Linked DNA regions of Ovis aries. The main gene of each other region encodes a partner of the protein of the gene in region 2 in a complex. Links are inferred from orthologs where the notes say so. Each region holds a gene or a part of one and is shown on either strand. Other genes may lie near its edges.

Region 1 (9,674 bases), about 2.5 Mb from region 2:
TCCCATGGTTTGAATAAGTGAATTAGTAGATGAATATGTTCTTGGGGCTTCCCTGGTAGCTCAGCTAGTAAAGAATTCGCCTGCAATTCAAGAGACCCCGGTTTGATTCCTGGGTCAGGAAGTTCCCCTGGAGAAGGGATAGTCGACCCACTCCAGTATTCTGGGGCTTCCCTGGTGGCTCAGATGGTAGAGAATGCATCTACAGTGTGGGAGACCCTGGGTTCAATCCCTGGGTTGGGAAGGTCCCCTGGAGGAGGGCATGGCAACCCACTCCAGTATTCTTGCCTAGAGAGTCCCCATGGACAGAGGAGCCTGGCGGGCTCTAGTCCATGGGGTCGCAGAGTCGGACACGACTGAGCGACTAAGCACCTGTTCCCACGAAACCAGCTCTGCCCTCAGGCCACCTCTGGGGAATCTGTGTCCCCACCATGGGTTGGGCCAGGAATGACCTCAAATGCAAGCTCATCAGCCCACCCTGGAGGCCTGTGAGAATCACCCAGGGAGCCACTGGGTCTTAGGAAATGAAGACTAACCACAGAAAAGCTTTTCTCAACACTTTAGGAAATGAAGACTAACCACAGAAAAGCTTTACTCAGCACTCAAGTGTGAGCAACCCCTTTGTTCTTTTTTTTTTAGAAGAATTCGTCCAGAAGGTCATTGCCCTACTCCAAGAAGCAGAGGAGCAGTGCAGAGACAAGGTGAGGAAGACGTTCCCCACATAGACCCTGACCTTCACTTTGGACACCGCCCCCCAGCCTGACACTCCCCTGCCCCTCCCCTAGTCCTACATCTTGCCAGAGCCTGGCTCCATCTCCCCTCCTTCCTGGAGCCTCCCCTAATCGCTGCAGGCTGTGCTTGTCTCCCCAGCTCTGAGCATCATCACCCTTCTGCCCTAACCACACCATCTGGCCCACAGTGGGTCTCTGTTTGTTTCTGGAGCTGCTGGTCTCAGCTGACTTGTAAAGTCAGGGGCCCTGACTCAGTTTCCCTTATCTCCCCTGCAGCAACTTCAAGTCCAGGAGCCGGAGGTGGCTGTAGAAAACTTGGCCCCAGCCTGCAGGAAGAAATGCCAAGAGAGAAAGTCAAACTTCAGAAAAGCCTTCTATAAAAAACACAGCTCCAAGGACCCCAAGAGAGCGGGGGCTGCAGGTGCTGCCAGCCCAGACTCCCGGCCACCCAAGAAGCCCAGCTTTCTGCCCCTGTGTGTCGGTGGCCATTGGCCCTCTGTCTCCAGCAACTCTGGTGAGCAGACCCGGGGTTGCCATGGCAACAGAGGCTGCCTCTGGCCCCGTGGCTTCCTCCAGGGCAGGGTTGGCCTGATGTGTGGTGTACCATTCAGTCTTGACTTTCACGCTGAGCAGAGTAGGGCGGTATGGGGGCTCAAGAGGAGAAAGGAGTTGGTTGATGCCAGGATTCACCCCCCACACTCTCCCCCACCCATCATAAACCCCTGAAAACATAGTATGACAGCATCGCCATACATAAATCAGAATCACCTGGAAAGGTGATAGAAAAAGAGAGACTCAGGTTTGATGAAGCAGGACATGTCCTGGGCCTCTGTTTCTTCACTGCACTAAGGTGTGAGGACCACTGGGGTACAACAATCCCCCCAACATTGGCAGAGTGCCCGCTGCATGCTGCGTTCACACATATTATCTCATTTAATCCCCCTCACAACTCTCCCAGCTGACAGATGGAGAAAGTGAGATTCAGACAGACTAAGGGACTCAGCAAAGGCTTGCCAAGTTAAAGGGGAAGGGGGCTCACTTGCTGAGACTTGTTGGCAGGCCTGCTTGCTTTCCTCCCAGATATAAGGAGGCAAGGGGGTAGGTGGAAGAGAGAATGCGATGCCTGGAGGGACAAAGAGCACTGTGAACTCCTCTGAGGCAGGTCCAGTGGGGCTGGGGGTTCCCTGAGGAGCCTGGGAAACCAGGACCCGTCTTAAGCCAGAGTCTTTGGACAGCTTCTTGTCAGAACCTGGGTTCAGTGACCTGCTGGTGGATTTGAGACAGGTGCAAACACATTCACACCAACTCCTCTTTGCCCTCAGATCCGGAGGATCTCGAATTCCAGGGGTCCCCACCCACAGAAGGGGAGCCAGTTGGAGCCCCAGAAGCACCCTTCCAGGCCAGAAGCCACAAGCCAGAAGTGGGACCTCAGCCGGATGGAGCAAATGAATCCAGTTAGTGTCACCCTGCTCTCTCCTGGGACAGCTGCCCCGGGGCTTCCCCTTTGCAGGGCTTTCACAGGCTGAACCCTAGTAGGGAACTGGGAAGGCAGCTTTACAAATATCCCAGGAGACTCTAGAAGGGCAGAGAGGACACAGGGTTGACCTTTGAACTGGGGCAGAGTTGCAGGCGGACAACCTTCTTCAGGTGGAGAATGCCTGTCCGCTCTGTGGGATGTACTTTCACCCCACCGCGTGCCACTGCTTTGCATGAATGTTTCCTGTAAAACTCCTAGCTTGCTCTGGATCTCATAACCATTGGCCTACTGCAAAGAAGCTCCAGTACACCAGGGGCACGGGGTCCAGGGGAAGGTAGCCTTTGCAGATTTCTGAGGTATAAAATTCCCACCTTGGCTGATTTCAAGTTGCCAACAGTGTATAACAAACGGGTCTCCAAATATTCTGAATATTCATAATTAAGTCTTGGTAAGAGCCGCCACCTGCACACCATTGTTTACAACCCAGGCTGATGGTGCAGGCTATTCTGCAGCCTAATAAGGTCTCAGTTTCCCCATCTGTCAAAACGGAGCTGAATGTGGCGGCAGGTGAGGCTCGGCAGGTCCAAGTGCCTTCTTTGTCTATAAAGCAAAACGAAACAAAACCCTCATGCTCCAGCTCTAGTTTAGGGGAAGATTTTCCTTGGTTCTTCATAACTAATCTGTGTGCTGTGTTTTAGAGGCAAAATACTTCTGGGATTGATGGATGGGTTATTGCAGAACTTGTCAACAGTCCCTCAATCCTTCTTTATTTTTCTTAGAGGAGCTGATCATCCAAGAGCTGGTGGCCCTTCTCCAAGAAGTGGATGGCCAGTTGGGAAAGCAGGTGAGGAGTGCTCAGTACCCCCAAGGACTGAACCCAAGTTCAGGCCCCATCTTTGCATCTGGGTGACCGTGGCCTGCCCCATAACTTCCGTGGGCCTCTGTTTTCTCTTTTCCAAAATGGGGGATAAATACCTACTTGCCAACTTTAGTGCTTATATAGAAAATGCCGGACACATAGCATAGGAGATCAATGTTAATTTAAAATAACGTAAAGCTCTGTGTCTCCACTTGCCAACCAGGACTTCCCCCTGTCCAAATCATCCTTGAAGTTCAGCTCAAGGAAGCCTCCTTCCCCAAGTCGCTCTGATCTCGTCCTCTATCTGCCCTTTACTCTGTCTTGGCACACGCTTCAGCAATTATAAGGCCTCTAATTCTTTCAAGCTTTTAGAGTTCCCTCTATTGCTAGATAGCTTGTAACATAAGGTTCCTCGCCTTTGAAAACCTCACAGTCTACTTGGAGAGACAAACACAGATCACATACAAAGAGGCAGGTCATAGATGAGTGATCAGTGTGGTGGTGCTGGTTTAGTCACTGAATCATGTCTGACTTTTGTGAACCGGTGGACTGCAGCCCACCAGGCTCCTCTGTCTATGGGATTATCCCAGCAAGAGTACTGGAGTGGGTTGCCATGCCCTCCTTCAGGGGATCTTCCCGACCCAGAGATCAAACCAGCATTGTAGGTGGGCTCCGGTATTGTAGGTGGTCTCCAGCATTGCAGGCAGATTCTTCACAGCTGAGCCTGTAGCCAGTGCTATTGGTACCTCCTCTGGCACCACAGATCACCTGGCCCAGCTCCCGACTGCCAGCACTTGCATCCTTTTGCCTGAAGACTGGCCTCTCCAGAGCCGTTTACACCCACACAATAGGCCAGCGTGACACTCTCCATCTTGCCAGGAGCAGCCCTCAATCATCGGCTGACATACTCCAGCTCCCTCCCCCCTTGGGGGGATAACTCTGAGGCTTCCAAATTGCCCCAAGGGGATCAGGCTCAGCTGCCAGCCTGAGGGGGCTGCTTCCCATTCTTGCCCCACTGTCTCCACTCCCCCATCCATGTCTGCCCGGATCACTCACCACAGAAGTGAGCTGCATTTGAGTCCTAGTCTTTGGATCTGCTTCTGGGGGAACCCAACCTAAGACATTTAGGTATTAGGAGGAGGAGGCTTAGGGCAGGAACTGAAATTCACCCAACATCCACTTTTCACAAAACATTAAACTATCTCATTAACCCCCTCCCCCCAACAATAGTGTGCTGGAGGAAGGTATTATTACCCCCATTTTACATGTGACAGAGGCTCAGAGAGGTCACACAGCTAGTGAGTGCTGTTTAAGCATCCATTATCTGAATCCAAAGACCTGCATTTTGTCTTTTGTTTTTTTTTCCCACTTTGTTGTGCTGCTTGGAGCTGTACCTTGCAGAGCAGATTCTGAGAGGCCAGGGAAGGTGGAGGAATTTAACAAGGCGTTCTGTCCCAGGGACAGGGAGGCGCCCAGCCTGACTGCGTGGGGTTGATGGAGGAGGGGTGCTGTGGGGAGGAGAGTACCTACCTGCAAGCCACACTGATGGCCTGCCTTCATTTCTGCCTCCAGATCAAGCGACACCCCAGCTTTAAGAAATTTTTCTACGAGCCCTCAGCCTCTTCCCTCAGAAAGCTGGTAGCCACGCTGCGCAACCAAGAGGCCCACACCACTGAGCCCAAGAGAACCTACCCATTTGTCTTTGGCTTGGGAAACCAGGGTCCTGGCAACAATTACCAAACCGCCCTCAGTCTCACAGGCCTACACTACAGGAGCCCCAGTTACAGCCAGTTCCCGAACGAGGAGGCCCAGCAGGTGAGAACCGGCCCCGTGGCACGAGGGGGGACGGACTCAGATCACAAGGACCTGCTTCGTGTCCTCTCCCCTCCCCTGCTTAGTTCAGGACTTCTGGGGTCCAGCTCAAATGCCACCTCCTTGTCCAGGCCTTCTGAGACAATGCTACACCACAGCGGTCTTCATCTTTCCCAGCCTCCCCGCCTTACCTGCTAGTAAGCTAATTAGCATCCTCTTTTATTTGGCTCTGGTCTCCAACAGGAGGGGTATTTTCATACTTCTTGATGTATGGAATACCTGACCGGCTCCTATCTTAGCTTCACCCTCTTGCTGTTTCATGGGTTGTGCTGCTTGGCTTGCCAATTGAGACGATCATAAAATTTAAAGAAAAAAGTACAGTAAGATTACATATCAAATAAGGGATGGTGAGGTAGTTGAGAAGGCTCCCTGGGGCTGTTGGGTTCTGAAAGGCTTCTCAGAGGACATTCTTCAAGGACCTTGCCTTGACTGATTATGAATAGCTTCTCTTCTGCCATCGCTCACTCTTTTGATTGGTTTCAGGCTTTCCCTAATAATCCTCCCTTCCCTGAGACTCTGGGATGGTCCCTGTAGAGAGAAAACTTATTACTGATCTTGTTTCAAATCTGAATTTTCTGGTGGACTCTAAGTTCTCCCCTCCCTTTTCAGATTCACTTAAGATGACCAGCTTACAAACATTCAACCACATCTAAAGTGCAGAAACTACTGAGTGGATTGTGATTTTAAAGCAATGAAACGTTCTATTGCTGTTGGACAAATAGGACCAGAACTTCCAGATCCAAATGGTTCCCTGGGGAACCAGACCTTTATTGCGATGATATCACTCTTACTCAAACTCTTTGTCTCCCCCTGGAATTAACTTTAGAAGCCATGTGATAAGTCTCTCAAGAAAGCAGGCTCTATTTCATGATACTTGTACCTCATCATTTCAGTGGCTTTCCTGGTGGGAAGCCCTTATGACCTTCGACCTCTCTTTTCTCAAACTCACTGTCTTCTGGAGACTAGGGACAATTTGCCCTCTAAGGTGGATTGACTTAGCAGCAGTAGCAGCAGCAAGGTGGATTAGGTAACACTGGATGGAGTGATCTGAGTTCTTTGTGGAAGATATTTTAGAGACATCAGTTCTGACATCCTCAGTAGCCCTAACACTGTATCTTCTGGTTTTGCTAGCCATTCATTTATTCACGCATCCATCCAATCAGTACATATTGAGAGCCTCCTATTAGCCTAGCTGTGTAAGATGCTCTGAGGGCCTGTGAAAGGTTCTAATGGAAAAAGACAGACTGTTTACTGATAATAAAAGTAAATATCAATTAAATGCCAAATTAGCACTAACTGTGGCCAATAAAGCAAGTTGGTTCTGGGAGCCTTCCAGGAGGTAGCAGACATTGATTTTGACCTTTGAGGATGGAGAGGCTGTCGATGGGGAGAAAAGACCAAGAGGACACTGCAGGCAGGAGGTCCTCTATGAGCAAAGACCCAGAGGTGGGAGCTAGTGGGTTAATGAGAAGGCTGTTGTTATCCGGGTGGGACCCATATGTAATTGGACTATGACTAAAATCTGTGTTCTTTTTCTCCTCCCAGAGCATCACAAGTTTTCAGATCCAGAGTCCAGATTGAAAGCTGTGCTTTGCACTCAAGTTCCCTTGAACTATGCAAACATTGGTAGCTTCAGCCAGGAAACCCTGAAAATGCTCCACGTTTTCCCAGTTCAGTGCTTCACAGACATGACTGAGGACGAGAGTGGACAGCCATTCTGTGTCCATGCACCATCGTGGGCTCATTGAGACAGAGAATGAACACGGTGTTCGTCTACAAAACTGGAGGCAAAGGCCATGGGGGAAAATGCACTGGACTGGGAATTAGGAGACCAGGACTCCACCTGCTGACCTACCTCCAAACTTGCTGCAAAACCCTGTACGAGTCCCACGTCCCTTCTCTCCAGACCTTGGATTCTGGGCTGGATTAGTGACCCATCAGACCCTTTCTGGTTGCATTATGCTAAAATATCTCTAAAGAGAGATAGCAAGTGCTTTCACTCTGTGGCTAAATATACCCACCCCACATAGCTGGAGGCAATCTTTAAGTACTGACCAAATGAATGAATGAATGGAACGCCTGAGATTCAGGCAATTCTGCCAGACATTCTCTGGGAGGCCTTGGTCCTCAACTGGAATTGTGAGACCAACGGTTCTCCTCTGAATTGGTAGGTAGAGAGGAAATGGGGGAGTTACCTCAGTAGGCGTTGGTCTAGAGCCTTGGACCAGGAATAAAGGCCTCTGCATTCTGGGGCCAACCTTAGGGCCTAGTACTGACTCATGTGCCCTTGTTTGCTTGTTTATCGTGCGTTTTCTTGGTTCACCAGGGCTAAAAATATGCCCATGCCATGTAGAAGAGCTGCTGATACCTTTTTTCAGATGTTAGTTTTTTAAATAAGTCTCTTGCTTCCCTGATAGCTCAGCTGGTAAAGAATCCGCCTGCAATGTGGGAGACCCCAGTTCAATTTCTGGGTTAGGAAGATCCCCTGGAGTAGGAATAGGCTACCCACTCCAGTATTCACGGGCTTTCCTTGTGACTCAGTTGGTAAAGAACCCGCTGGCAATGCGGAAGACCTGGGTTCAGTCCCTGGGTTGGGAAGATCCCCTGGAGAAGGGAAAGGCTCCACACTCCAGTGTTCTGGCCTGGAGAATTCCAGGGACTGGATAGTCCGTGGGGTTGCAAAGAGTCAGACATGACTGAACAACTTTGACTGACTTTAGTTTTAAAAATACATCTATGCTTAATCTCTGACCTGAACATCCACATGCACGTAACAGATGTGCAGCTACAGGTCTCACACAATCTATTCGGCTTGCCGACAGTACTTAGTGCCCACATGGATCTGTAGAACCTCCCGGGAACCCTGCAACCTCTAGATGGGGCCGCAGCAGGGTGGGGACAGCTGGTCTCTCTTAGGATCCTCTCAGCCCTCTGTCCTGTAATTCTACAGCTGAGAAATGAAGCTGATGCCTTTCAGCTCTGCCATCTCATGTTTTGCTTATTTAGTCGCTAAGTCATGTCTGACTCTTTGCGACCCCGTGGACTGTAGCCTGCCAGGCTCCTCTGTCCATGGGTTTCTCCAGGCAAGAACACTGGAGTGGGTTACCGTTTCCTCCTCCAGGGGATCTTCCTGACCCAGAGATCAAACTTGCGTCTCCTCCCTTGGCAGGCAAATTCTTTACCACTGAGCCACTTGGGAAATCCAAATAATCCATGCAATGATATCTAAAAGTAAATTTGGAAATTGAATGGGGTTCAATCATGGGGATTTGCCAAAAGTCACTAAGAAAATCAACACAAAGAGTTCTGAAATTACATAGTGCTGTGTCTATATAAGTTGCTATTCTTATGATAGCTACAGTCTGGGTAGTTTTCAGGAAATGGGGGAGGGCTTCAAGCTAGATTGCCAGGGATGGTTGAATGAGTGTGCACTGCTCAATAGACCAAACTGCAGGAGACATTGACTTCTGAGACATTGTGGATTTATAGACTTATGATGATGATTTTCCAGCTGATGGCAGAAAAGTATCTTGAGAAATGGGCTTTTTGTTTTTGCACCAAGGCAAAGTTTTGTCTTCTACACAGCACAACAGTTCCAACACATGTCTCTTATCTGCATGAATGCCTGACAGGGCTATGAACGCAGCCCTCTAACACTGCCTAGAGCACGTGGCCATCGGGGAGAGGGTGTTAAAACCTGGATGGCCAACCCATCCTTGTTATCCTTGGTGGACACTGTCTTGCTGTTGTGATGAGCCCCATAGGGTAGAGCTGAGGAGGGGGAGACTTGGGCACTTAGCAGGGACTGGCCTCAAACTTGAGGCAAAGTTTTAGATTCTGAAAGTCATTTAGTGTTATTGCTGCTCCCAAGAAGTGGAGGAGGTTTATTTATTTTATGGATTCATTTTAGGCAGTGTTCAGGAACACAGCACTAAAATGTGAAAGATCGGAATCAGTTTTGAGAAGAGGGTCAGGCACCTTCTGTACAGAGTTTCTTATTTGGAATGATGTTCTTTAAGTTATGTATTTGGTATGAGTTTTTGATGCTGGCATCTGAGTCTCATTTTTGTACTGTGTTATTTGAGCAAATAAAGAAAGTGATTTGCACAGAAGTCTGACTTGCATTGGATTATTCACCACGGAGGCAAGATGGAGCCACTTGCCACGTCTAGGCTAGTCCAGAGCCTGCAAGGTTGTGGGGGTCTGCCTCCTTTTTCCTGCCTGGGAGCCCTGTCCAGATGCTATTCAGGTGTCTCATCCTTGTGGTACCAACTTGCTGAGGCAGTGGGGAAAAAAAAAAGTGCCCTGTCTTGAGCATCGGGTGACCTGGATTTTAATCCAGCTGCCTTCAGGCCGATGACCTTGGAGACAAGATACTTGCCTTCCAGACCTGCCATTCTACAACTGCGATTCTTCCGGTGGCAGGGAGCTGTATGTCCAGGGAAGTCTGGGCCAGTCCTAACGCTGCTTCATCTGCCCTGTTGATTCCTAAACTCTGGTACCCAAACTCGGTCACTCAAACCAGGAAAAAAATGGACAGAATACAGCGCCTGGTTTTTGGTCCAGAAAATGTGGTCTCCATTGAAAGTCATCTAAAGCCTCCTTTCCCCTGTCTCAGATAACACGTGAGTTCTTCCAGCGGCAACCTGAGGAAAGGGAACGTGTATGCATAGCTGGTCTTCTTTCAAAAGTTAAGCCTCCTTTCCCCAGCTCTTGAAGGTGGGCCTTAATGCTCTGA
Region 2 (10,976 bases):
AAGGGTAGAGCTACTAACCCCCACAGCCCAGACGTCCTGGCTTTGGGCAGAGTGGTGGGAAGGAGGAGTGCCCTCCTAAGGGTATTATAAAAAGCTAAAATCGTTAACGGCGACTTGGGAGAAGTGATTCCCAGCCTCTTGCTTCCCCAAGTTATCAGTCTCCCCAGCACCGAGCAGACAGGGCTGAGGGGGTCCCAGAGAGCTAAGGGAGAGGCCACCGCCCCCCTCTGAGAGGGGGCCGTTAGCACCATGCAATGTTAGAGTACCCAACAGTCTGATGGATGCCCCTGGGCAGGGGCCCTCCAAAGCTGGAGTGCCCACTTACTAAAGCTTCTGTGCTCTTAATGGGGGGGCAGAGGGACACCCCTGCTGGAGAGGAGGTGAGGGGAAAAGCCGGGGCCAAAGTCCACACAGGGGTCTCAGGACCCCAAAGGGCCCCTCCAGGAGTCATGACTTGAAGAATCTTCGTACCACAAACTGGCCCAACAAAACCACAGCCAGAACTATGGCTACGTTCTTGATGGGGGCGTTCCCCAAGTCCAGGGCTGCCACCTGCCGGGAGAGACGGAAGGGTCATGGGCGGAGGGTGCTGGTGGCTCCCAGGGCCTGGGGTGGGGCTGGGAGGGGCGGCTCCAGTGGCAGGAAGGGTTGACGGATGCTCAGGCACTCACCCAGCCACCCCTCTGTGCGATCCACCGGGCGATGGAGCGACGCAGCACGAAGTCGGCCACGAAGCGGGTCACCTGGCCCAGGAAGCCGGTCAGGCCGCGCTGGTAGACGTGGAGGGCCAGGCGGTAGCCGAAGCCCAGCAGAGCCACCACGCGGCCCCAGTTGATGCCGCTCTCAAACAGGCTGCAGGCAGGGGAGACACCGTTGCTGGAGACCCCTGGGGGGCTCTTTGACTTCCTTCCCCCTCCCATCCCTTTGGACTGCCCCACCCCTAGCCCTTCCCTGCTGGAAAGCAGAAATGGCTTAGCTGTGAACTGGTGGGGCAGAGGCTGCCCCAGCCTGGCCTTGATCTGGGAAGAGCCCGCGTCCCTGTGAAAGGAGAAAGCTTGGAGGGCAGATGAGTGGGGCGCTGCTGTTGGGACACAAAGGCAGAGCGTGGAGGGCAGAGCAGGCGGGTGGAGGCAGCGGGGAGATTACCTGTGGGCGCTGCTGCTGGCCTGGCAGCCCGGGACGGCAGAGAGAAAAGGACAGAAGAGGAGGTTAGGACAGTCTTGGAATCACAGCGGAGTGGGCAGTGGCCTCTAAGGACACAGGCAGGGTGTTCAGCTCTGAGCACTGATTCCATCTCCTGCTCCTGCCTTCACCCTCAGCCTCAAATCTACCTCGAGACTGACTCCCTTAATCCAGATGGTGACAACGGCTGACACCTTTAAGAGTGCATGCAATCCTAAGCATATTTCCCCTAGTTTATGGACCAGGAAACTAAACGCTAGGATGTGTCACGAAGCCAGTAAATGGCGAAGCTAGGATTCGCCCAGGCTGCTGGTCTCTTGAGGCCAGATCTCAGCATCAGGAAGTCATTTTCAGGACCTGGTAGGCTGAAGCCAGGTCCAACAATCATCTTTGGTGTGAAATGTAGCTCCAAATCAGAATGACAGCTGTGTCCCAGCAGTGCTTGGGATGTCTGGGAACAACCCCACTGCGAGCCCCCTGCCCCCCACACAGTCCTGATCTATCAGCTCATGTTGGTGTCAGGGGTCATGAAGGCTGTGCCCTTGTGTACAAAGATGAGGAGCCTGGGCTTAAGAAGAGAAAGACAGGGGCCCAAGGCCACACGTGAGTTAACAGCAGAGGCAGGGACAGAAAACACATCTCCCAACACCAGCAGAGAAGCTGTCTCCCGTTTCACGGGGAGGGCCTGGCGCGGTGGGGACAGCGCCATGGAGGGGCGGTGGCCGGGGCTACCTGGACGCGATCTTGGTGAAGTACTCGTAGGCGTTGTCTGCCGTCGGCTGCAGGTGCTGCAGCATGGCCTGGAACTCTGTGTCGTAGCGCCGGTTGATGTCATCCCCGATGACGGCGAGCTGGCGGCCCACCTGCCCCATGGTGCTGGAGGATCAGGAGGCGGCCAGTGAGTTGGGGCTCGGGCTGGCAGCAAAGCGCTCCTGCCCGAGATGCCCTGGCCTCAGGCGCCGCTCCTGGGAAGTCCTGACTGTGTGCTCAGACAAGAGGGCTGGGCCCGGGCACAAGGGGCAGGCTGTGCTGAAAAGGGTGCTGGTTCTGGGATGGGAGCGGTGACCCAAATGCAAAAGGGCAGCAGCGGAAGAAGCCCCCAGGCTTGCTCAGCTGCCAGGGCCAGCACGGTGACCCTGCATGAGTCTCTGCTTCTCTCAGCACGTCTAGGAGGCCGCAGCTCACCTGGTAGGCTCTGGGTGCAAGGTGACCATCTCTGGGTCAGTAGGCGCAGCCGCCCCCTCGGCCTCCTGCTCCTGCTGATGGCGGTAAAAGACGTAGCTGCGGAAGACCTCCTCGGTATCCCGGGCTACCTGCTCCTCTGGGGACCAAAGCCGGGAGTCAGGGAGGAAGTGCTCTGGGGAGGAGGGTTCCCTCTGCTGGGGGACACACCTGTCCCTCCTCTAGCCCTCGGGTGACACCTAGGGCTGACTCTGAGTAGAGCTGTCTTCTCACAGCAGCCTCGTGGAGGCGACCACCCCGCTTACAGATGGGGAAACTGAGGCACGGTGTTTGCGTAACCTGCGCAAGGTCACGCGGCTGGAGTGAACAGCGTGGCCAGGACAGATTCCCGGGCGCCTGGCTCTCTGGCTTTTCGTGTCCAAGGCACCCGGCCGTACGGCTTGGCTTAGGGAACGTGGGAAACAGAGTTTGAAATTGCAGCCCAGGAAAGTCACATTGGGACATGGTGAGTGGCCTGAGACGGAACCCAAAGTCCAGGAAGCAGCCTGTGCTGGGTGGCAGAGCTGCCAGCCTTCCGGGTGGTCCCCTTGGATGAGGGCACTCTCTTCCTTCCTCCCCAGAGTCTAACAGCCCGTCTCCCAGTTGAGCAGCCCTGATCGGGTGATAAGCTGCCTCACTTCCTTATTTCTCCAGCCTGGGATAAGACAGCCGCGCCCAATGCCTTCCCTCCTGCTCACCCATCCCGCCCGGCTGCCCGGGGAGGGCAGGGTGTCCTCCGCAGGCTCACCGCCCCCTCCCTCGGCCTCCACGTGTCCTTCCCCGCGCTGCTCTTGGGGCTCGGTCTTGCCTGCACCCCAGCTGCTGAGCCGGTGGGCTGCCAGCACTGGGTGGGGAGGTGCTCTCTCCTTTGCGCAAGGCGGGTAAACTAAGGCGGGCCCCTGGGGCTGTCCAGGTCTGCTCTCGCCAACCCCCCAGCTGGCCCCGGTGGTCATGAGGTGGGTGAGGGGGCAGACAGACCCTTACCCGATGCGGAGGAGGGTTCAGGCTCATCGCAGCCCTGCCCAGGGGGACCTGGACCTTGTCCCGAAGCCATTCCTCAGGTCCTGGGGAGAAAAGCAGCTTCAGATTGTGTTGGGGGCAGATGGGAAAGCAGAGATGGGGCCAGGGGCTCTGGCGGCCCATGGAGGCGGGGAGGGCCCCCTCCCGAAAGACCCACTGACCCAGGAACTTATCACTTCACTAGCGGCTCTTCAAGAAAGACTGGGACTGAGAAAGGCCAGGCAGCCAAGACTGCCCCCGCCGGGGACCAGCGCAGGCCCTGGGGTGGGGAGGCCACAGTGGTGCCCAAGCGGCTGTCTAGTCACGTCTTACCCCGTTCCTGGGCCGGGGAGGTGAGTTTCAGAGGCGGAGTTTCCTTCTGCTGCCGCTGGGGCCCTCTGCACCCTATCCGGTCCACATCCACCACAGACTCGCTACCTTCCAACCAGTGACCCGTGAAGGCCGTCCCCGAAGGCCCCACTTCCCCCCAGCTAGTCAGAGCACACCTGTTTTCCACCTCGGGCCTGTTAGCCACACACATCCCGAGCGCCTGTGGTGTCCTCCTCACACATGCGGGAGGAGGTGTGGGACGCGGGGGTAGCATGGCAGGGCAGGCACCATCATGCCCACTGCACAGGTGGGAAAACTGAGGCTCAGGGAACGCTCCAGGCCACAGGGCTGGTCAAGCCATCAGGGTGACTGAATTTCCACACGCGTCCGTGCTCTCCTCAGCGCTCCTGTCAGGCTTGCTTCCCGGTTGCCGGCGGCGGCCTCTGCCCTTGCCCCACCTGCCTAGCAGGCGGCTGAGGAAACCACGTGCCCCCCTCGCCCTCCTGTCTCCGGCCCGTTTTCTTCCTTTGCTGGGTTCTGGCCACAACCCCCGGCAGCTCAGTGAGCCCTGGGCAGAGTGAGTATTTCCTGGACGTAAGCTGTTTCACTTTCAGTTTGCACCCTCCTCATTTCCCCGCACCCCAAAGCTGCCTCCATCACCCAGGCGGAAGCCCCTCTCCTCCCCCTCGGGAGGGCCCAGCCTGGGCCCCAACACACGCCCGGAGGGCCTGTGTTCCGCCTCCTTCCTGGGAGGGCCTGTATACCCCACCTCTCCCAGGCCTGGGGCCATTTTCCAAAGGGCCTCAGGAGAAGGGTGGGGAGGGCCCACCTGTGCGCCCCACCCCTTCCCTGTCGAGGGGGCAGGGACAGGGAGAAGGGACTCGCCCCTCCTGCAGCCCGCGGTCCCCCGCCTGCTTAAGACAGACCTTAGCCTGGCACCCGGCATCCTAGAAGCTGCTTCCCAAACAAGGCGCCTTTCTCCCTCCCTTGGTACCCAAACGCGGTGCCCCCCAGGACATCAGGGCTGAAGGATGCTAACTGCACCTCGACTCCCTCTCCCACTACCCCTGGGGCTCACGGCTGGGGATGAGGTGGAGCCTTGGAACCCGCCCCAGAGCCAGAGGCCTGAGCTGACCTGGGACTTCCTCTGCCCCCATCCAAGTGGCCTGACTTCCTGGTGGGGAGAGTCCGCTGTGCCCACCTTTTGGGTTTGCCAGGCCCAGGATGCTGCTGGAGTTGGGGGGGGGGAGGGGGCAGATCCTGACCTGGTCTTAGGACTCCTGGGGCAGCAGGAAGCACTGTGAACGGTCTCCTGCTGCCCTTGACCTTGACTCTGACCTCCACTCCCATCCCCCAGACTGCTAAAGGACCTGGCTCTTTGGCACGCGATTCTCGGGTAGCCAGGGCCAGGGCAAGAGGGGACGCCGCCTCAGGGGCAGCCCAAGGGAGCCCTGGCTGGATCTGGATCGGCCCACCGTCGAGGGTTGGTGGAGCCGCCCAGGCAAGCTTCGCAGTGGCGTCCCCCTCCCCAGCGGGCTCCCCAGGGGCTCCCTGCCTCACCCTGGGCCTGGGGCTGCCCAGGGAGGGGGGCATGGGCAAGACTCTCCCGGCTTACCTCCCCGGACCCTGGCCCAGGCCCGAGATGGCCCAGCGGGGCGGAGGCCAGAGATCCTGAGGGGTCAGGGGCTGTTCCCAGGGTTGTGTCCCCACGCCTGGCTTCCAGGAAGGGGAGTCAGTGGATCCCTGATGTCTGGAGTGCAGCCTCTGCCGGTCCCAGGGCGGCTCTGGGGGACCCACGGGGCTGCGGCGATCATAGAGGCGCCGGCGGCTCCCGGCTCCCATCAGCTCCCTCTAGAGGAAGTCGCTCGGTGGCCGCCGGATGCGAAGCCGCAGCCCGTGGCCTGAGGCGGGTCTGGGCTCTGCAAGAGAAAGTGGCTTCCCTCCTCCTCCCCCACGGCTTTTCCCCCACCCTGGTTCCCAGCCCTAATTCTTGATCTGTCCCCTGCTCCCTTCCATCAGTGCCAGCAAAACAGCCAGGATGGGGCGGTTCCTTGAGCCCCACTCTGTGCCAGGCACTTTAAAAGCCCTTTGGATGGACTTCCTTGGTGGTCCAGTGGCTAAGACTCTGTCCTCCCAACACAGGGAGGTCTGGGTTCGATCCCTGGTCAGGGAACTAGAGCCCACACGTAGCGACTAAGAGTTCGCTTGCTGCAGCTCAGACACAGTGCAGATAAATAAAAAACATTTAAAACTAAGCGCACTTTGGAACAACCCTGGGAAGCTGGTGCAGTGGGTCACACCCATCTTTCAGGGGATCAGACTGAGACTCGGCTGGTTTAAGGAGCCTCTCCCAAGGTCACTGAGATGGGTTTATAATCAGGTCTCCAGGAATAAGACTAAACTGAGATTCAGCGTGCACACCAGGCACCTACCTTGGTGGTTTCCACAGAGGAAATGTGACGTCCCCCTGAATCTGCCGGGCAGGTACGCAGAAAGGGGGGCACAGTGGGCCCGTGCCAGCTGGATGCTGAGAAGGGAGGGAAGGGGGAGGGCAGCTGCTGGGGAATGAGTGCTTCCCAAGGACAGAAGCGGCTGCAGGGGAAGGACAGGCAGCGAGGAGAGAGCCCTGGGCCACCACCCCATCCTCAGAGCTGGGGTTCCTCTGGACTCCTCTGCCTGCCCCCCCACTGTCTCCTGGGGCCTCCCCAAACCCTCAAGCCCTCCCACCCCAGCTGGCTCCCTAGGCCTTGTCAAACCCCTGCCCTCTCTGCACCCAGCAAATCCCCCCTCCCCCCCTTCTGCCTTCTAGAACTCCTGGAAGTTTCCAACTGGAGGTTTTCAATTTGAAAACCTCCTTCTGTTCTTAAGCAGTTGGTCCTGCGGTGGCTGCTGCGGCCCCTCCCTCTGAGTCAGGGACCCTCTCGGGATGGAGGCCGCTGCTTCAAGCCCTCGGCCCCGAATTTTGGGCCGCTCCCCCATGTTCTGCTTTTCCTGGAGCTTGGTAGGCAGCAAGTGCGGCCGGGAGAGCTCAGGCCAGGCCTTGCGGAGGGGCTGGTCGTGGCCCCTGGGGGGGCAGGACGCCGTCCCCGTGATGCCCGACCGTCAGGGACAAGCTGGGAGGAGGGAGTCCAGGCCTCCCGCCACGCTGCCCTTCGCCCGCCCTGGGGCCCTGCCGCGGCCCAGCCCCTCGGGGCTGGAGATGGGGGACCCGGGGGCCCAGACCTGCCCCCCCGCGGAGGTCATGGCTCAGGGCGTAGAGGTGAAGCCAGTCCTGCCCAGAGGAAGCCAGGAGGTGCTGGGCCACTTGTCTGAGCTGGAGGAGAGGGAAGAGGCGGCCACAGGGGAGGCCTCAGGGAATACGGGGACCTCAGAAAGGTGAGGGGCTGGGCCGAGGATGGAGGAGCTGGGGGAAGCCAGGGTGTCAGGAGGGAGGGGGACGTGGGCCTGAGCTTTGAGGACCCGAAACTGGGGAGGGACCAGGGGCTTCCCTGGTAGCTCAGCTGCTAAAGAACCCACCTGCAAGGCAGGAGACCCCAGTCTGATTCCTGGGTCCGGAAATATCCGCTGGAGAAGGGATAGGCTACCCACTCCAGTCTTCTTGGGCTTCCCTTGTGGCTCAGCCGGTAAAGAATCCACCTGCAGTGTGGGAGACCTGGGTTAGATCCCTGTGTTGGGAAGATCCCCTGGAGAAGGGAACGGCTACCCACTCCGGTATGCTGGCCTGGAGAATTCCATAGACTGTAAAGTCCATGGGGTTGTAGAGTCGGACACAACTGAGCGAATTTCACTATCAGGAACGGACTCCTCGGGTGGGCAGAGGACTGGGTGGGCATGGTCGTTCACATCAAGGGTGGAGAGGAACCTGGAGAGGCAGAGGGAGGCAGAGACAGGGCTCCTCCTCAAGTGAGGGGTAGTGCATAGGGGCACCAAAAGGCCAAGGGCACAGGCCAGGGACTAGGAAGGGTGCGTGTGGGGTGAGCTGGGCCTCCCATCACTTCCCAGCTCCTTGCTGGGCCCCTCCCCTCCTCACGGCCCTCACCCTACTTTTGGGGGGATCATCCCCCTCTGTGATGCAGACCCCAGAGGGCAGAGCAGGGAGCAATGGGGAGCAGGGGGGTGGAGGAGCTGAGCAGAGCCTCGGCAGGGGTTTGGGACCTTCACCACCTCTCGGGCCCCACCTGCCGCCCCCATCTGACTGTGCTCTGGGGTCAGGGGCCACTCTGCCCAGGCCTCGGCGGTGGAGCCAGGATGCGCGCGGAGGGCCGTGGGGCCACTGGAGTTCAGCCCCGAGGCCTTCACAAGGGAAGAGGAATGTCTGGTCGATGGTGAGTGCGGTGGCCACAGGCCCCAGGGGACAGCCAGGGCATCGGGCCAGGGGTGGGTGGGGGGGCAGGGGACGAAGGGCAGTCTGAGTGGAGCTGGATCCCAGCTCCACTCGGGGCAGGCGGTGTGAGGGCGGCAAGTCACTCAGCCTTCGTGCATCTCAGTTTCATCATCTGTAGAACGGGAGCATGATAGCATCTCTGTCAGAGGGCATTAGCAAGGATTAAGTGAGACGATCTCTCCACCTTTGGCTGTGGGCTCCCAGTGACCACTGCCCTCCACAGGTGACCCAAGACTGGCCTCCTCCAAGGTGGGGGCAGCTCCCTGGAACCGCCTCCTCGGCTTATACAAGCGGCTCCAGAAAGGGGCCATGGCCAAGGTCCGTGGGGCCCCGGCCGGAGGCGGGGCGGGGTGCGGGAGAGCGCGCCCCTCTCACCCGCTCCTGCTTTCTGCTCGGGGGCCGGGCTCAGCTGCCCCCTCACCTGTGGGGTGGCTGTCCAGCCTCAGTTCCCTCTCAAGGAAGGCCTGCCCCGAGAAGAGCCAGGCGAGGAAGAGGAGGCGGCAGCGGAGGAAGACAGCGCCCTCAAGCTCTGCGTCCCGGGCATCGTCACCCTCCAGTCCCCGCTGCATAAGGCCTTCAGGTCAACGGACACAGCAGGTGGGTGTGCCGCCCGTACCCCCCCACCCCGCCCCCAGCCCCGCTTTGATGGAGCCGCTCTCGGATGCGACACCAGTTAAGACCACCAGGGGGAACCACAGGACCTAAAATGATCGCCCCGGCCGGCTGACCCGCGGGCGCCGGTCCGCAGAAGGAGCTGGGTGTGCGCCGGGGAGGCGGGGGAGGCTTGAGGCGTGGGGGGCGGCTTACGACCGGGACCGTGGCTCCTCGAGCAGCACCCTTTCCCAGCCCAGAACTCTAACTCCTTCAGTGGCGCCCCCTGCACCCCCAGTGTTCCTGTCAGATGTGCACTTGCTGTGACGGTGCCCAGGGGACCCCCTCTCCCATTGCAGCCACCTCACTACACTGGTGGGGCGAGCAGACAGCTTAGTGGTAATGAATGACAGCCTCCAGTAAAGTCTCCGTTGACATTTTCCTTACCACGGGCCAAACCCTCTCCTAAGCACTTTTCATGAAATACTGCATTCTGACTCTGGGGTCAGTCCTGTTATACTGTCTCCGCTTCCCTGTGAGATCACTGGGGCCCAGAGGGGTTAAGTAATTTGTCCACGATCACCTCACTGGTCAGTGGCAGAGCTGGGGCTTGAACCCCCGTGGTTTGTGTTACTCCGGATTGGAACGCTGGAGTTGATGGCTGGAGGAGGCAGGGCAGGGTGGAGCAGATGTCTGCCCCTGGAATGAACACTGTCCCCTGAGAGGCAGGTAAAGAGATTCACACTCAGGGTGGGAGCAGGGAGCCCAGTGAGAGTCCTGGAACAGGCTGGGCGGTGGAGAGGTGGAGTCTGGCAGGCTCTAGGGGCCCGACTGGGGGTGACCAGGGGCCATGCAGGGCAGGGTGGGGTTTGGGGAGCTGGGGCCACTTCATCTTCCTCAGATCCCCAGCAGGCTGCAGCTGCCCCCTCCTGCCTGTCCCATGCCCTTCTCTCTCTGGCTCTCAGGTTTTGTGGAGGTGGAGCTAAAGAAGCTTCTGGTCGTTCAGCGGGAGTCCCGCCTCTGGAAGATAGGCGGCTACGATGGCCGGGAGCTGCTGACCCAGCCAGAGATCACCCTGGAGGAGGCGGGTGTTGTGGATGGCCAGGTACACCCACCCACCCACCACCCCGCTCTGCCTGCGGGCACCAGGAGTCTGGGGCTGGAGAACTCCCCTCTCTGTAGGCTGCGGGCCCAGGCCCCAGCCACCCCTGCACCCTGCTGGGCAGGAAGGGCGCAAGTCCTCCTCCATGGTGGTCTCTCCGAGAGCAGGACCCCAACCTCCTAAGCACACGCTTCTCCATCTGGCTGGCTCTCACTTAGCCCAGGGCCCGTTGCTAAGGCGTCACTGCCGCGCACTTGCTGTGTGGTTCCAGGCAAGTCCCTCCCCCTCCCTGGGACTCAGTTTCCTCATCTCCAAGAGGAGGGAGTCTGTCTCCCATTCACATCCACACCTCCTCCCACAAACACACACAGGTGGCAGGGGAGTTGCCAGGGGTAACAATGGGGACCACCCCCAGCCCACCCTCTTTGACATTGGCCTTAAAGGTTAGGCCTGTCCAGGCTTCTGGGAGTGCACACTGATAGACCTGTTGATGACAAAAATGTGTCGATTTCCTTTCTGGGTTAATTTCCATTCATTCATCAGCTCACCCTTTCTTTCAGTGGACCTCTGCCCCCTGCAGACTGTGCAGTTCACAAAGGGAAGGAGCAAAGTCTGTAGTCGGAGTCTCTGCTGCGGCCTGCCTTGCTCTGTGACTTTGAATATGGGCTTTGGTGTTTTCACCTGGAAAGGTGGCCATTGGAAGATGAGATGAACTGAAGAGTGTGTGGCAGCCAACTGCAAAGGGCACTCCAGTGTCAGGGATTATGACTCACCCCTCGAGGGTCATGAACACCAGGAACCCTTGCCTACCCCTCGTCCTGAGCCTTAGGCCATGCCAGGTGTCCCTGGGTGCTCTGGGGAGCCTCACCCTACACCACACAAGTCCTGGCTCTGGTAGGGCTCCTGCTTTTTTGCCTTTTCCTGCTGAAGGGACCTCTCCTCCCCTGCGCCCTCCAGGGCCGCCCCCTGAGCTGGCCTGCCCTGTCCCGGGCGGTGCAGTCCTATGGTGGCCTGAGCACACCGCAGGCCATCAGGGGGTTTCTGGATGGTGGCCCGGGCCGGCGCCTCACTGGGGGCTGGGCAGCCTGCTGGGGGCGTGTCGAGGGGGCCTGTCCTCATCACCACCCCCCTCTCTTTGTCTGCCCTCAGGGACACCAGGCTGAGGGG
Region 3 (11,200 bases), about 2.6 Mb from region 2:
GCAAATGAGAAGCCAATTAAGATGTGGCTTAAGTTTAAAGATTTCCTTTAAAGCTTTAAGCTTAATTGATAGCTCAGTTGGTAAAGAATCCACCTGCAATGCAGGAGACCCCAGTTCAATTCCTACTGATAGCTCAGTTGGTAAAGAATCTGCCTGCAATGTAGGAGACTCCAGTTTGATTCCTGGTTCAGGAAGATCCGCCTGGAGAAGGAATAGGGTCACAAAGAGTCGGACTCGACTGAGCAACTTTCACTTCCATGACCCACTACTTGTAGATCTGGATTATGTAAACTGTCAACAATCCATCATTTAATGTACAGCATACTGTCTCAAAACCATACATAACTGTGCTTTGACCTTTAATGGACAGAACAGTTCTCAGAGTTTTCTGAGAGGCTATTCCAGGGTTATAATCTTCAATTTCAGAGAAGGCAATGGCACCCCACTCCAGTACTCTTGCCTGGAAAATCCCATGGACGGATGAGCCTGGTAGGCTGCAGTCCGTGGGGTCGCTAAGAGTCGGACACGACTGAGTGACTTCACTTTCACTTTTCACTTTCATGCATTGGAGAAGGAAATGACAACCCACTCCAGTGTTCTTGCTTGGAGAATCCCAGGGATGGGGGAGCCTGGTGGGCTGCCGTTTATGGGGTCGCATAGAGTTGGACACGACTGAAGCGACTTAGCAGCAGTAGCAGCAGCAATCTTCAATTTGGCTCAAAATAAAATTTCTGTTTCTTTCTTAGACCAACTGATCAACTTTTTTTGTTGGCACTCAGCCTGATTTAAGCAATCACAGCTTTAATCCACTATTTCATTACTTGGAGATGTTTATTCTCAGGAAAATCACTTCAGTACCTACGAACTTGATTGGTGGTAGCGACCACTCCTGAATCCCAGAGCCTTAGGAGAATGTGAAGAGTATTTGCATAGAAATGAATCCCCAGTCTATGTTCGATACAGGATACAGGATGCTTGGGGCTGGTGCACGGGGATGATCCAGAGAGATGATATGGGGTGGGAGGTGGGAGGGGGGGTTCAGGATTGGGAACTCATGTACACCCATGGCGGATTCATGTCAATGTATGGCAAAACCAATACAGTATTGTGAAGTAAAATAAAGTAAAAATAAAAATTTTAATAAATAAATAAATAAAATAAAAATAGAAAAAAAAGAGTATTTGCATAACCTTTTACCTTTGTACATAGCAAGTGGAGAGAAGAAAGGGCAACTGAGTGGGGAGACCTTCCAAATGAGTATCATCAACTTCAAAATGGGTTTAGGACCAGCCCTACCTGTGCCAATCAAAAGCATGATGATTTGCAACTATCATTTTAACTGACTGTCATCTGGGAAGTACAAAATCTAGTATCTTCAGTATGAAGATGGAATACAAGTTGGGTAAGTTCCAGTAATGGACGCTGGGAGAAATGGAGCTATAAGAATGCTAACAAGCCTTGGGTATTTCAGCTGGGTAGACAAAGGGGCAGAGAAGGAAGGACCTAGAGATAGAACACAACAGAAGATTGTGCTCAAAGCAAGAAGTGTGTTTTGTATTCTGGAACTCAGCATAACAACTATTTGTATTTCGTGCATATCTGAACAATTACTGGTGAAACACTTGCAGCGTGGCAAATGCGTGTGTGCTCAGTCATGTCCAACTCTTTTTGACCCCATGGACTGTAACCTGCTGGGCTCCTCTGTCCATGGGATTTTCCAGTTGTGGATACTGGAGTGGGTTGCCATTTCCTCCTCCAGGGGATCTTCCTGACCCAGGGATCAAACCCACATCTCTTGAGTCTCCTACATTGGCAGGTGTGTTCTTTACCACTAGCGCCATCTGAGAAGCCCAAAATAACAGAGATGATACTGCATATGAGATGTGTGTATCAGCATACTTACCTATTGGATACACATTGTCTATGTCAGTAATTATGGGTCACCATTACTCCCTAAGAACTTAGAATTAAAAGAGTATTTTCTGAGAACTTAGAGGCAAGATCAGTGTATGTTTAGTGGAAATGGGTGAGATGAGCAGTCATCGAAGGGGAAAGGCTACTAGCTCTCCCTTGCCCAAGCCATTCCCTCTGCCTGCAACTTGCACCCTCCTTAACCCCCTCAGGTCTCAGTCCAGAGTTACGTCTCCAGGGAAGCCTTCTCTAACCTCCCTCCTAGGCCAAAGCCCCATTATAGCATCTGGACCTCTTAGCACCCTATCATATTACATTTAACATTGGTATATGTGATTGACTGCTGTCTGCCTTCTTTACCTGACCATCTGTGCCAGGAAGGAAGGGGCTGTTGCTGTTTTTGTTTATTATTGTCACCCAAGTATGTATTGCAGTGCCTAAAGTACAGTTGGCCCTAGTATTTTTTAAAATGAATTTAAAAAGTCAATGTGTCCATCTAGAGGAGGAAAGAGAGAGATGGTGAGCCTTAAGAGCACCAAAAAAATAAAAAAGCATAAATGAGCATCCAAGGGACTTTCCTGGTGGTCCAGTGGTTAAGAATCTGTCCGCCAGTGCAGGGGTCCAGGGTTGACCCCTGGTCTGGGAACTAAGATCCGACATGCCATGGAGCAACTAAGCCCATGCACCACAACTACTGAGCCCTTGTGCCCTGGAGCCCATGCTTGGCAACAAGAAGCAGGCACTGCGACCGGAAGCCCATGCACCACAACTAGAGAGTAAAAGATATATATATATAGAAAATGAACACCCGAGTGTTGCCGGAAGGGGGACCCTGGGGGCACCCCTTTCTGCAATACAAGCACTCTCAGAAGCAGAAAAGCTGAAAACTGGACGCTCTTCTGACTTCTACAATTAATATATCCCATTTACACTACCTATATATCTATGAGTGTCTCTGTGTTAGTTGCTCAGTTGTGTCCAACTCTTTGTGACCCCATGGACTTTAGATCACCGGGCTCTTCTGTCCATGGTATTCTCCAGGCAAGAATACTGAAGTGGGTTGCCATTCCCTTCTCTGGAGAATCTTCCTGACCCAGGGGTTGAACCTGGGTCTCTTTCATTGCTGACAGACTCTTTTTCGGCCACACCCCACACCTTGTGAGATCTCAGTTCTCCGACCAGAGATTGAACCCGGGCTTCTTGCATTGGGAAGTGCAGAGTCCTGTTGGATGCCAGGAAATTTTTCTATGTGTGTGTATATATGTCTGCCCTTTCCTATCAATAGAGAAGGAAATGGCAACCCACTCCAGTATTCTTGCCTGGAAAATCCTATGGACAGAGAAACCCGGCCAGCTGTAGTCCACAGGTCACAAAGAGTCGGACATGACTGAGCGCACACACTTTTCCTATCAATACTTTTTACATTTTTAGAAGTGGGCAGGGCCTCTTTCCACTTTTAATCATTTTTGTTTTCCCAAGAGTGTCTAATTTATCTTAAACGATGTATCAGGACGGTTGCTCTGGACTTCTCCAAATCCTATGCACCTCCTCAACTTTTCTAAGTGTCTTTTAGCTGTACATGGGCTTCCCAGGTGGTGCTACTGATAAAGAATCCTGACAATGCAGGAGACCCAAGAGATGCAGGTTCGATCCCTGGGCTGGGAAGATCCCCTAAAGGAAGAAATGGCAACCTACCTATTCCAGTATTATTGCCTGGAAAAACCCCATGGACAGAGGAGCATGGTGGACTATAGTCGGGGTCACAAAGAGTTGGACACGACTGAGCACAGGTGTATGCGTGTGCACACACACACATTCTCCATACAAATACTACGGGTTCCTCCTCCCCCAGCACCAAACAGATATGTTCATATGGCTAGTGTTCAGTTCAGTTGCTCAGTAGTGTCTAGTTCTTTGTGAGCCTATGGACTGCAGCATGGCCAGGCTTCCCTGTCCATCACCAACTCCTGGAGCTTGCCCAAACTCATGTCCATCCAGTCAGTGATGCCATCCAACCATCGCATCCTCTCTCGTCCCCTTCTCCTCCTGCCTTCAATCTTTCCCAGAATCAGGGTGTTTTCCAAGGAGTCAGTTCTTCGCATCAGGTGGCCAAAGTATTGGAGTTGCAGCATCAGTCCTCCCAATGACTATTCAGGACTGATTTCCTTTAGGATTGACTGGTTTGATCTCCTTGCAATCCAAGGGACTCTCAAGAATCTTCTCCAACACCACAGTTCAAAAGCATCAAATCTTCGGTGCTCAGCTTTCTTTATAGTCCAACTCTCACATCCATACCGTAGCTTTGACTAGACAGACTTTTGTCAGCAAAATAACATCTCTGCTTTTTGATATGCTGTCTAGGTTAGTCATAGCTTTTCTTCCAAGGAGCAAGCGTCTTTTACTTTCATAGCTGCAGTCACCATACGCAGTGATTTTGGAGCCCAAGAAAATAGTCTGTCACTGTTTCCATTGTTTCCCTATCTATCTGCCATGAAGTAATGGGATCAGATGCCATGATCTTAGTTTTCTGAATGTTGAGTTTTAAGCCAGCTTTTTCACTCTCCTTTTCACTTTCATCAAGAGAATACCCCCAAAGTAACAGATAAGTTTGGGCTTTAACCGGTCACTTTCCAGCCAACAATGGCTTGTGATTTTCATTTTCAGTCTGTATTGCAGCCTGGGACAAAAGCACTAAGAGGAGAAAGGGATCTTCTCAATCAGCTTCCTCATTAAGAGTTCGCTCTATCTAATTTATCTAACCTATCTAATCTATCTTTGTCATCCGTCCATCCATCCAATCAGGTGCCCAGCAGGAGAGCTTCCCAGGGTCCTCCACGGGACCAACCACACCTGGACGACTACGCGTTCAGGGTTCTCCTCAGACGCACTGCCTAGACCCCGTTGTCGGCCGGAAAAACCCTTGGGGCGGGGCTGGCAGTAGAGGTCACGTGAGCGGCTGTGACCAATGGGAAGTGCACACGGCGGGGTGTGCCCAGAGGGGGTCTCCGGCGCCGGGGGCTGGCGCCCCTTGTGCGTTGCTACTACTAAGTCGTGTCAGGGGTGTCCGACTCTGTGCGACCCCACAGACGGCAGCCCACCAGGCTCCCCCGTCCCTGGGATCCTCCAGGCAAGAACACTGGAGTGGGTTGCCATTTCCTTCTCCAGTGCTTGAAAGTGAAAGTGAAATCGCTCAGTCATGTCCGACTCTTCGCGACCCCATGGACTGCAGTCTACCAGGCTCCTCCGTCCATGGGATTTTCCAGGCGAACTTGTTCGCTACCTGCTTCAAATCCGATTGAGGGGGAGGGAGACTAGGTATTCGGGGTATACCACCAGGCCCCTCCAGTGACCCTGGCTTTAGCGTTCTCGACGTCATAACAACTCAGTGTCCCTCACACTGCCCCCTTCAGTCGGCGCGTCCCCATTCCTTCAGCGGTAAAAGAGGAGAAACACGACGCTTCTCGCTGAGCCTGTGAGGGAAGGAAATGGGAGTGGGGGTGGGGCGCGGCTTCTGGCCGCTACCGCCTCTGACTGGGCGGCAACCGACGGCCGAGGCTTGCACTGTCGGCGCACCAGACAAAAATGCCAGACACAAAGATTTTACATACGTAGTAAAATGAGGACTCTATGCAAAAAAAAAAAAAAATATATATATATATATATATATGCAGATTAGGCTGTTGGCTGTCACTGTAACTTAGTAGCATTAGTAATTCTTCACCCTTCTGCTTTTTTTGAGGTGAAACTAATTAGGAAAGGTTTTGGGGTAAATGTGGCAACCGCCCACAGTGCACCTCAGTTTCATAAGGATCGGTGAGGATTAAGTAATACAGTGAGTGTGAAAACATTGGAAAAGTCTTGCAGTAAAAGACAAGTTCTAGAATAGTGCACGGCTTTGTGAATATACTAAAAGCTTCTGAACTGTGTGCTTTAGAAGTGTGAACTTTATGGTACGAGTTACATCTCAACTTAGAAAAGCGAAATGTATGTTCTATAAGGTAATCATAGGTGACACAGTCTCGGGTTTGGAGATATCATTGTTGACACCTGTCCAGATGAAAATTCAAAATTTTGGTCAGTTGAGTTCTTTTTAGAAAATGGATATCATATTTGATGTGGCGGCCAGGGTCTCATTAGGATGCTTGAAATTTCCGCTTTCTTAGGGGCATGTATTTCTTTTAAAGTGGAAAATAGTTTGAGATTAATTTAAATCCTTTCAGGTGTCTAGCATGTTTTTAATCTAAAAGTCTAAAACCACATGCATTTAACTCTAACATTCTTTAATGCTTTTTCAAACACAGCACTTTAATTTTCCAACATTTTGGGACATTTAGGAATCATACATTTTTGAAAAACAAAATTTCAAGTTTATCTTTCCCTCATGTTCTTTCCTATATTGACAATATCAAGAAGGAACCTACACTGAATTTTCCCTACCTCAACAATGCAGACATTTTCAGGTCAAGTTTAAAGGTATATTTTTTTATTAAAAGATGAATTTGATCTATTTTAGTGAATTTGGGATCATCTTAATTAGTTGTCACATCAGTGATTCAGAGCTAAAAGAAACTAGGAGGTTTATACCATGAAGCAAAGTCAGTTTTAGATTTTTACTATGTAAGAACTTCCTTGAATAGATTTACACTACTTCTTAATGTTTAAATACTCCAGTGCCCAATTTTATATCTTCAGTACCAGGAAAAATACAAGCTAAATAGAATATTTAACTTAGTTTAATACAAATAATATCTTACCTGGGTTCCTTGACATGGCTGAAACTGGCTGGGAGCTGACAAGTTGGGTCATGTAAACATTCTGAAAACTGTATTTCACCCACAGTGATTTGCAACAATTTGTTACACTGGGAGAGGGATTCAGAAGTTCTTTAGGTTCATAAACAATGGCATCATGTTTTTTCTTCTTCATGTGTTTTTCCTGTTAAAAATATTTTCAGAGGATTTCTCCCATTTCTCAGTATATATTTGGTATGATAAATGAATACTAATATTTTAACACAAACAGCTTTTATTCCATATATAAAAAGATTTTGCATTTGGAAGGAAGATGGAACAGGGTGATCTGTAAGTTCTTTTTCAACTGAAGTAAACATCTATGTTGTTTGGTCTTTAGATCTGATACATTACCCTGTATCCTCATCTCCCAGCACTTTCTCATCATCTTAATAGTTACATTCCATCCAGGGAACAGTCTTAAATTAGTACACATAGAAGAGAGACAAATTATTAATAGTATAGCCAAAAGAAAAATAGGTTTAAAAAACCTAGACAAGTGGGGAAGATTGGAGATGGAATATATTCTTCTTCCTACTGCAGGGTGTGTGTGTGTGTGTATTTCCTCCCCAGAATGGCTCTTGCATTCCCTCTTTAATACTCCATATACACACAGTCCATCTCTGCAGATGCCAATGAAGGCTATTCTTTGCACACTCCTCCCTTTTCTTCTAATATTAAACCACAATTGGAGAAGGCGATGGCACCCCCACTCCAGTACTCTTGCCTGGAAAATCTCAGGGACGGGGGAGCCTGGTGGGCTGCTGTCTATGGGGTCACGCAGAGTCGGACACGACTGAAGTGACTTAGCAGCAGCAGCAGCAGGAAAGCACCAATCCAGTAAGTTGAAGAATGGATGATTCTCATTGTCTATCAGTGTACTTACTTATCTTATCTTAAAGGTTGGCCACAGAGTTTGACTTGCTATTTTACCTTCTAAATCTAAGCAGTTAACAGAAAATCAAAGAATGACTGAGAGGTCAAACCATAAAAAAACAACTAAAGGTAGCAGAGGAGGCCTTCTGAAGCATTGCATCAGTACTGTCCAATAAAAATATGTGAAAGACATATGTAACATTAAGTTTTCTAGTAGATACATTAAAAAGTGAAAGGGAATAGGTAAAATGAATTTTAATGATATGTTTTATTTAACCAAATGTATCCCTAAATAAATTTCAGTGTTATCATTTCCACAGGTAGTCAATATAAAACTTAATGAAATATTTTATATTCTCATTAGTGTACGTCTTCAAAACCTGGTATATATTTTACAGTGCATCTCAGTTTAAATTAGCCACACTTTGGGTGCTCAGTAGCTACATTTGGCCAGTGGCTACTGTATTGGACAATAAATATGATAAAGCTGTATTGCAGCTTTAGAGGAAGAAGCAAGAACTGAAAAGAAATGGCTTTGAGAGACCGACAGTAAGCAGCAATCTCAGCTAGAAAAACTAAGTTGGGGGATATCATCAGGTAAAATTCTCATTTTTTAAAATTAGAGGATAATTGCTTTACAATGGTGTATTGGTTTCTGCCATACAACAATGCCATCAGGTAAAATTCTGATCTCATCATTATCATGTATGACATTTTCCAGTGTAGGATGCTATTACAAATTTTGATTATTGTAATTTGGGCCAGATTTGGGGTGTGGGAGCTGTGGGATGAAGTGTAGTGTATGCCTGGTCATTTTTGATGCCTTAGGCTGCCTGACATTTTAACTGTTCTCATCAGGCAATCTTCTAACCTTTATTTGATTTCTCAAGTTAACTTTCCATTGGGAAAAGGACATCCTCTCCAGCTAATGCCTCAGAGCCAGATCAGAACCTGGGTATAATTATTAAATTGCTAAATGAGCAAAATTGACAATCAAGATATAGTTTTGGGGTGACAGTCTTGTCTGAAAGAGCCAGCTGACAGTGTTACCCACCAGCTCATTGTGAAACTGTCATTTTGTACTGGTTGTTCACATGACATTGCTAGATAATTGAGAATAAAGTATCTAATTATGGCCTGTTAAAGTAAATAATTGAGCATATTAGACTTCATTTTCCCCAAATAGGTTTTTATTATAATTATTCCCAAGTAATTCTGCAGGATGTTATATTTATTGAAACATAATCAGTGCTAATTATACAGCCATCTTTTGGTATCCATGGAGGATTGATTCTAGGATCCCCTTTGGATATTACATCCACAGATATTCAAGTACCTTATATAACATGGCATAGTATTTGCATATAACCTATGCACATCCTCCCATATACTTTATTTTTTTTTTTTGGATCATGTTTTTATTTTGAATGTTTTCCAGAATTTTATACTGAAATGTGTATATAGCATGTATTACCACTGATTCAGCCTTACCATTGTTATCTATAATTAATCTAATCAACCTAACATTTTACAATTCAGGAATCTTTAGTTTTACCTGTAGTTCTGGAGGTTTTACTACATATTCTTCAAAATAATTTGTAACAACCTGTTAAGAGGAGTGTTTTACACTATCAGGACACTCTTTTATACTTTCTTATCTAGAAATATCTGCTTGTCTCTAAGCTTTTGTTTCATATTTCCTAGTTCTGTAATTTCAGCATCTCTTTTATATCGAACCTAGTTTTCCAAAAGTCTCATTAGATTATATTTGCTGATTTCCCTTTATCCACTGCATGTTTGCTATGTAAAACTTTGCTTCTTTAGGTGTGTTTCCTTTATCCTTTATTTATAGATGGCAATAGCCTGTCTAGTATCAAAATGAGACTCTCTACTACTTGCTGCTGCTGCTGCTGCTAAGTCGCTTCAGTCATGTCCGACTCTGTGCAACCCCATAGACAGCAGCCCATCAGGCTCCCCTGTCCCTGGGATTCTCCAGGCAAGAACACTGGAGTGGGTTGCCATTTCCTTCTCAAATGAAAGTGAAAAGTGAAAGTGAAGTCGTGTCTGACTCTTAGCGACCCCATGGATTGCAGCATACCAGGCTCCTCCGTCCATGGGATTTTCCAGGCAACAGTACTTGAGTGGGATGCCATTGCCTTCTCCACTCCCATATACTTTAAATTATCTCTGAAATGAAGTGTTAGTTGCTCAGTTGTGTCCGACTCTTTGCAACACCATGGAGTGTAGCCCACAAGGCTCCCCTATCCCTGGAATTCTCCAGGCAAGAATATAGGAGTGGGTTGCTATGCCCGCATCTCTAGACTACTTATAATACCTAATACAGTGTAAATACCATGTATATAGTTGTAAATATAATGTAAATGCTATGTAAATAATTGCTGGCCCACAACAAATTCCAAGTTTTTTCTTTTTGAAACTTTCTGGAATTTTCTTTTCTGAATATTTTCTATCTGGTGGTGGAAGTGGTTTAGTTCCTAAGTCGTGTCTGACTCTTATGACCCCATGGACTGTAGTCTGCCAGGCTCCTCTGTCCATGGGATTCTCCAGGCAAGCATACTGGAGTGGGTTGTCATTTCCTTCTCCAGGAAATCTTCCTGACCCAAGAATTAAACCCAGGTCTCCTTCATTGCAGCAGATTCTTTACAACTGAGCTCCAAGGATGCAGAACTGGTGACTACAAAGCACCAGCTACATTTTTCATCTAAAATTTATTTTTAAATATATCTAAGAAAAACACTAAACTCTTGTTAGTAACAACTATACTAACATAGTTGTTAGTATAATTGCCTTTACAAAATGCTGTGACTACCTGAAAACTTGAGGAAATCCGAAGATTCTGAAAAGCATAGTCATGGGAGGTATATGGAAGTCTAAGTAATTATTGAGCTGATATATGTTGTCTACTTAATAATCATTGGTTTACATTAGGTATCTTATTATTTTAAGGCGTAGTAATGATATTTTTCATTTATTTATCTACTTTGGAGGTTGTTCTAATTTAATGTTTTAAATGTATGTGAGTCAAGTTTTTTATCATTTCCTGCAGCAACTAATTCATCTGTGGGTTCATATTTTGTTGTCTCTGTGTGGTAGGCTGAATAAATGGTCCCCCCAAAGATGTCCACGTCTTCCCAGAACCAGTGAACGTTTTCCTTTATACAGCAAAATGGACTTTGCAGATGTGGTTAAAGCTATTGAAAAGCAGAAATTATTCTGGGTTATGTGAACCTGAACTAATCGTATGGGTCTTTATAAGAGGGAGGCGAGAGAGTCAGAGAAGGAGATGTAACAGTGGACGCAGAGGTCAGAGTGATATGCGAAGGAGTGCAGGCAGCCTCTAGAAGCTGAAAAAGGCGAGGAAACTGATTCCCTCCTAGAGCCGCCAGAAGGAATGCAGCCTTGACAACCCATTTTAGGTTTTCTACCTCCAAAACCATGAAATAATAAATTTGTGTTGTTTTAGGCCATCCAATCTGTGGTCATTTGAAACAGTAGGAATAGAAAACCTATACAGTACGCTGATTTGAGGGCATATTATGTTACTGCCAGCACACAATTTGCGTGTGTTAGTCACTCAGTTGTGTCTGACTCTTTTCGATCCC

Evidence for each region.
Region 1: the proteins of BAK1 (region 2) and BNIP5 are in contact, whole or in part, in a crystal structure (PDB 8IGC), measured with the Homo sapiens proteins. The link is inferred for Ovis aries from reciprocal best matches to the Homo sapiens genes BAK1 and BNIP5. Residues at the interface, in NP_001179.1 of Homo sapiens: Leu78, Ile81, Gly82, Ile85, Tyr89, Glu92, Phe93, Met96, His99, Leu100, Tyr110, Lys113, Ile114, Ser117, Leu118, Ser121, Asn124, Trp125, Gly126, Arg127, Val129, Ala130, Phe134, Ala180, Leu183; in NP_001010903.3 of Homo sapiens: Ile246, Ile247, Gln248, Met249, Ile250, Val251, Leu253, Leu254, Lys255, Arg256, Val257, Gly258, Asp259, Gln260, Trp261, Glu262, Glu264, Gln265, Ser266.
Region 3: the proteins of BAK1 (region 2) and PXT1 are in contact, whole or in part, in a crystal structure (PDB 8GSV), measured with the Homo sapiens proteins. The link is inferred for Ovis aries from reciprocal best matches to the Homo sapiens genes BAK1 and PXT1. Residues at the interface, in NP_001179.1 of Homo sapiens: Ile81, Gly82, Asp84, Ile85, Asn86, Arg88, Tyr89, Glu92, Phe93, Met96, Leu97, His99, Leu100, Tyr110, Lys113, Ile114, Ser117, Leu118, Glu120, Ser121, Asn124, Trp125, Gly126, Arg127, Val129, Ala130, Phe134, Asn182; in NP_694535.2 of Homo sapiens: Ile78, Ile79, His80, Lys81, Leu82, Ala83, Met84, Gln85, Leu86, Arg87, His88, Ile89, Gly90, Asp91, Asn92, Ile93, Asp94, Arg96, Met97.

Annotation. Positions count from the first base shown.
Region 1 is NC_056073.1:10,353,885-10,363,558, reverse strand, and holds the end of BNIP5 (protein BNIP5), read left to right. Parts: intron 1-636; coding exon 637-698; intron 699-1,004; coding exon 1,005-1,242; intron 1,243-2,050; coding exon 2,051-2,182; intron 2,183-2,984; coding exon 2,985-3,049; intron 3,050-4,636; coding exon 4,637-4,879; intron 4,880-6,481; coding exon 6,482-6,517; 3' UTR 6,518-9,048; downstream 9,049-9,674.
Region 2 is NC_056073.1:7,859,890-7,870,865, forward strand, and holds the start of BAK1 (bcl-2 homologous antagonist/killer), read right to left. Parts: upstream 5,519-10,976; 5' UTR 5,348-5,518; intron 4,312-5,347; exon of another isoform or gene 3,736-4,311; intron 3,468-3,735; 5' UTR 3,458-3,467; coding exon 3,388-3,457; intron 2,504-3,387; coding exon 2,368-2,503; intron 2,059-2,367; coding exon 1,915-2,058; intron 853-1,914; coding exon 672-852; intron 553-671; coding exon 448-552; 3' UTR 1-447. Other genes in the region: gametogenetin-binding protein 1-like, read left to right, coding at 6,659-7,107, 7,945-8,057, 8,340-8,434, 8,557-8,713, 9,673-9,812, 10,959-10,976. UniProt on the Homo sapiens protein: Plays a role in the mitochondrial apoptotic process. Upon arrival of cell death signals, promotes mitochondrial outer membrane (MOM) permeabilization by oligomerizing to form pores within the MOM.
Region 3 is NC_056073.1:10,453,035-10,464,234, forward strand, and holds the start of PXT1 (peroxisomal testis-specific protein 1), read right to left. Parts: upstream 6,838-11,200; coding exon 6,666-6,837; intron 1-6,665.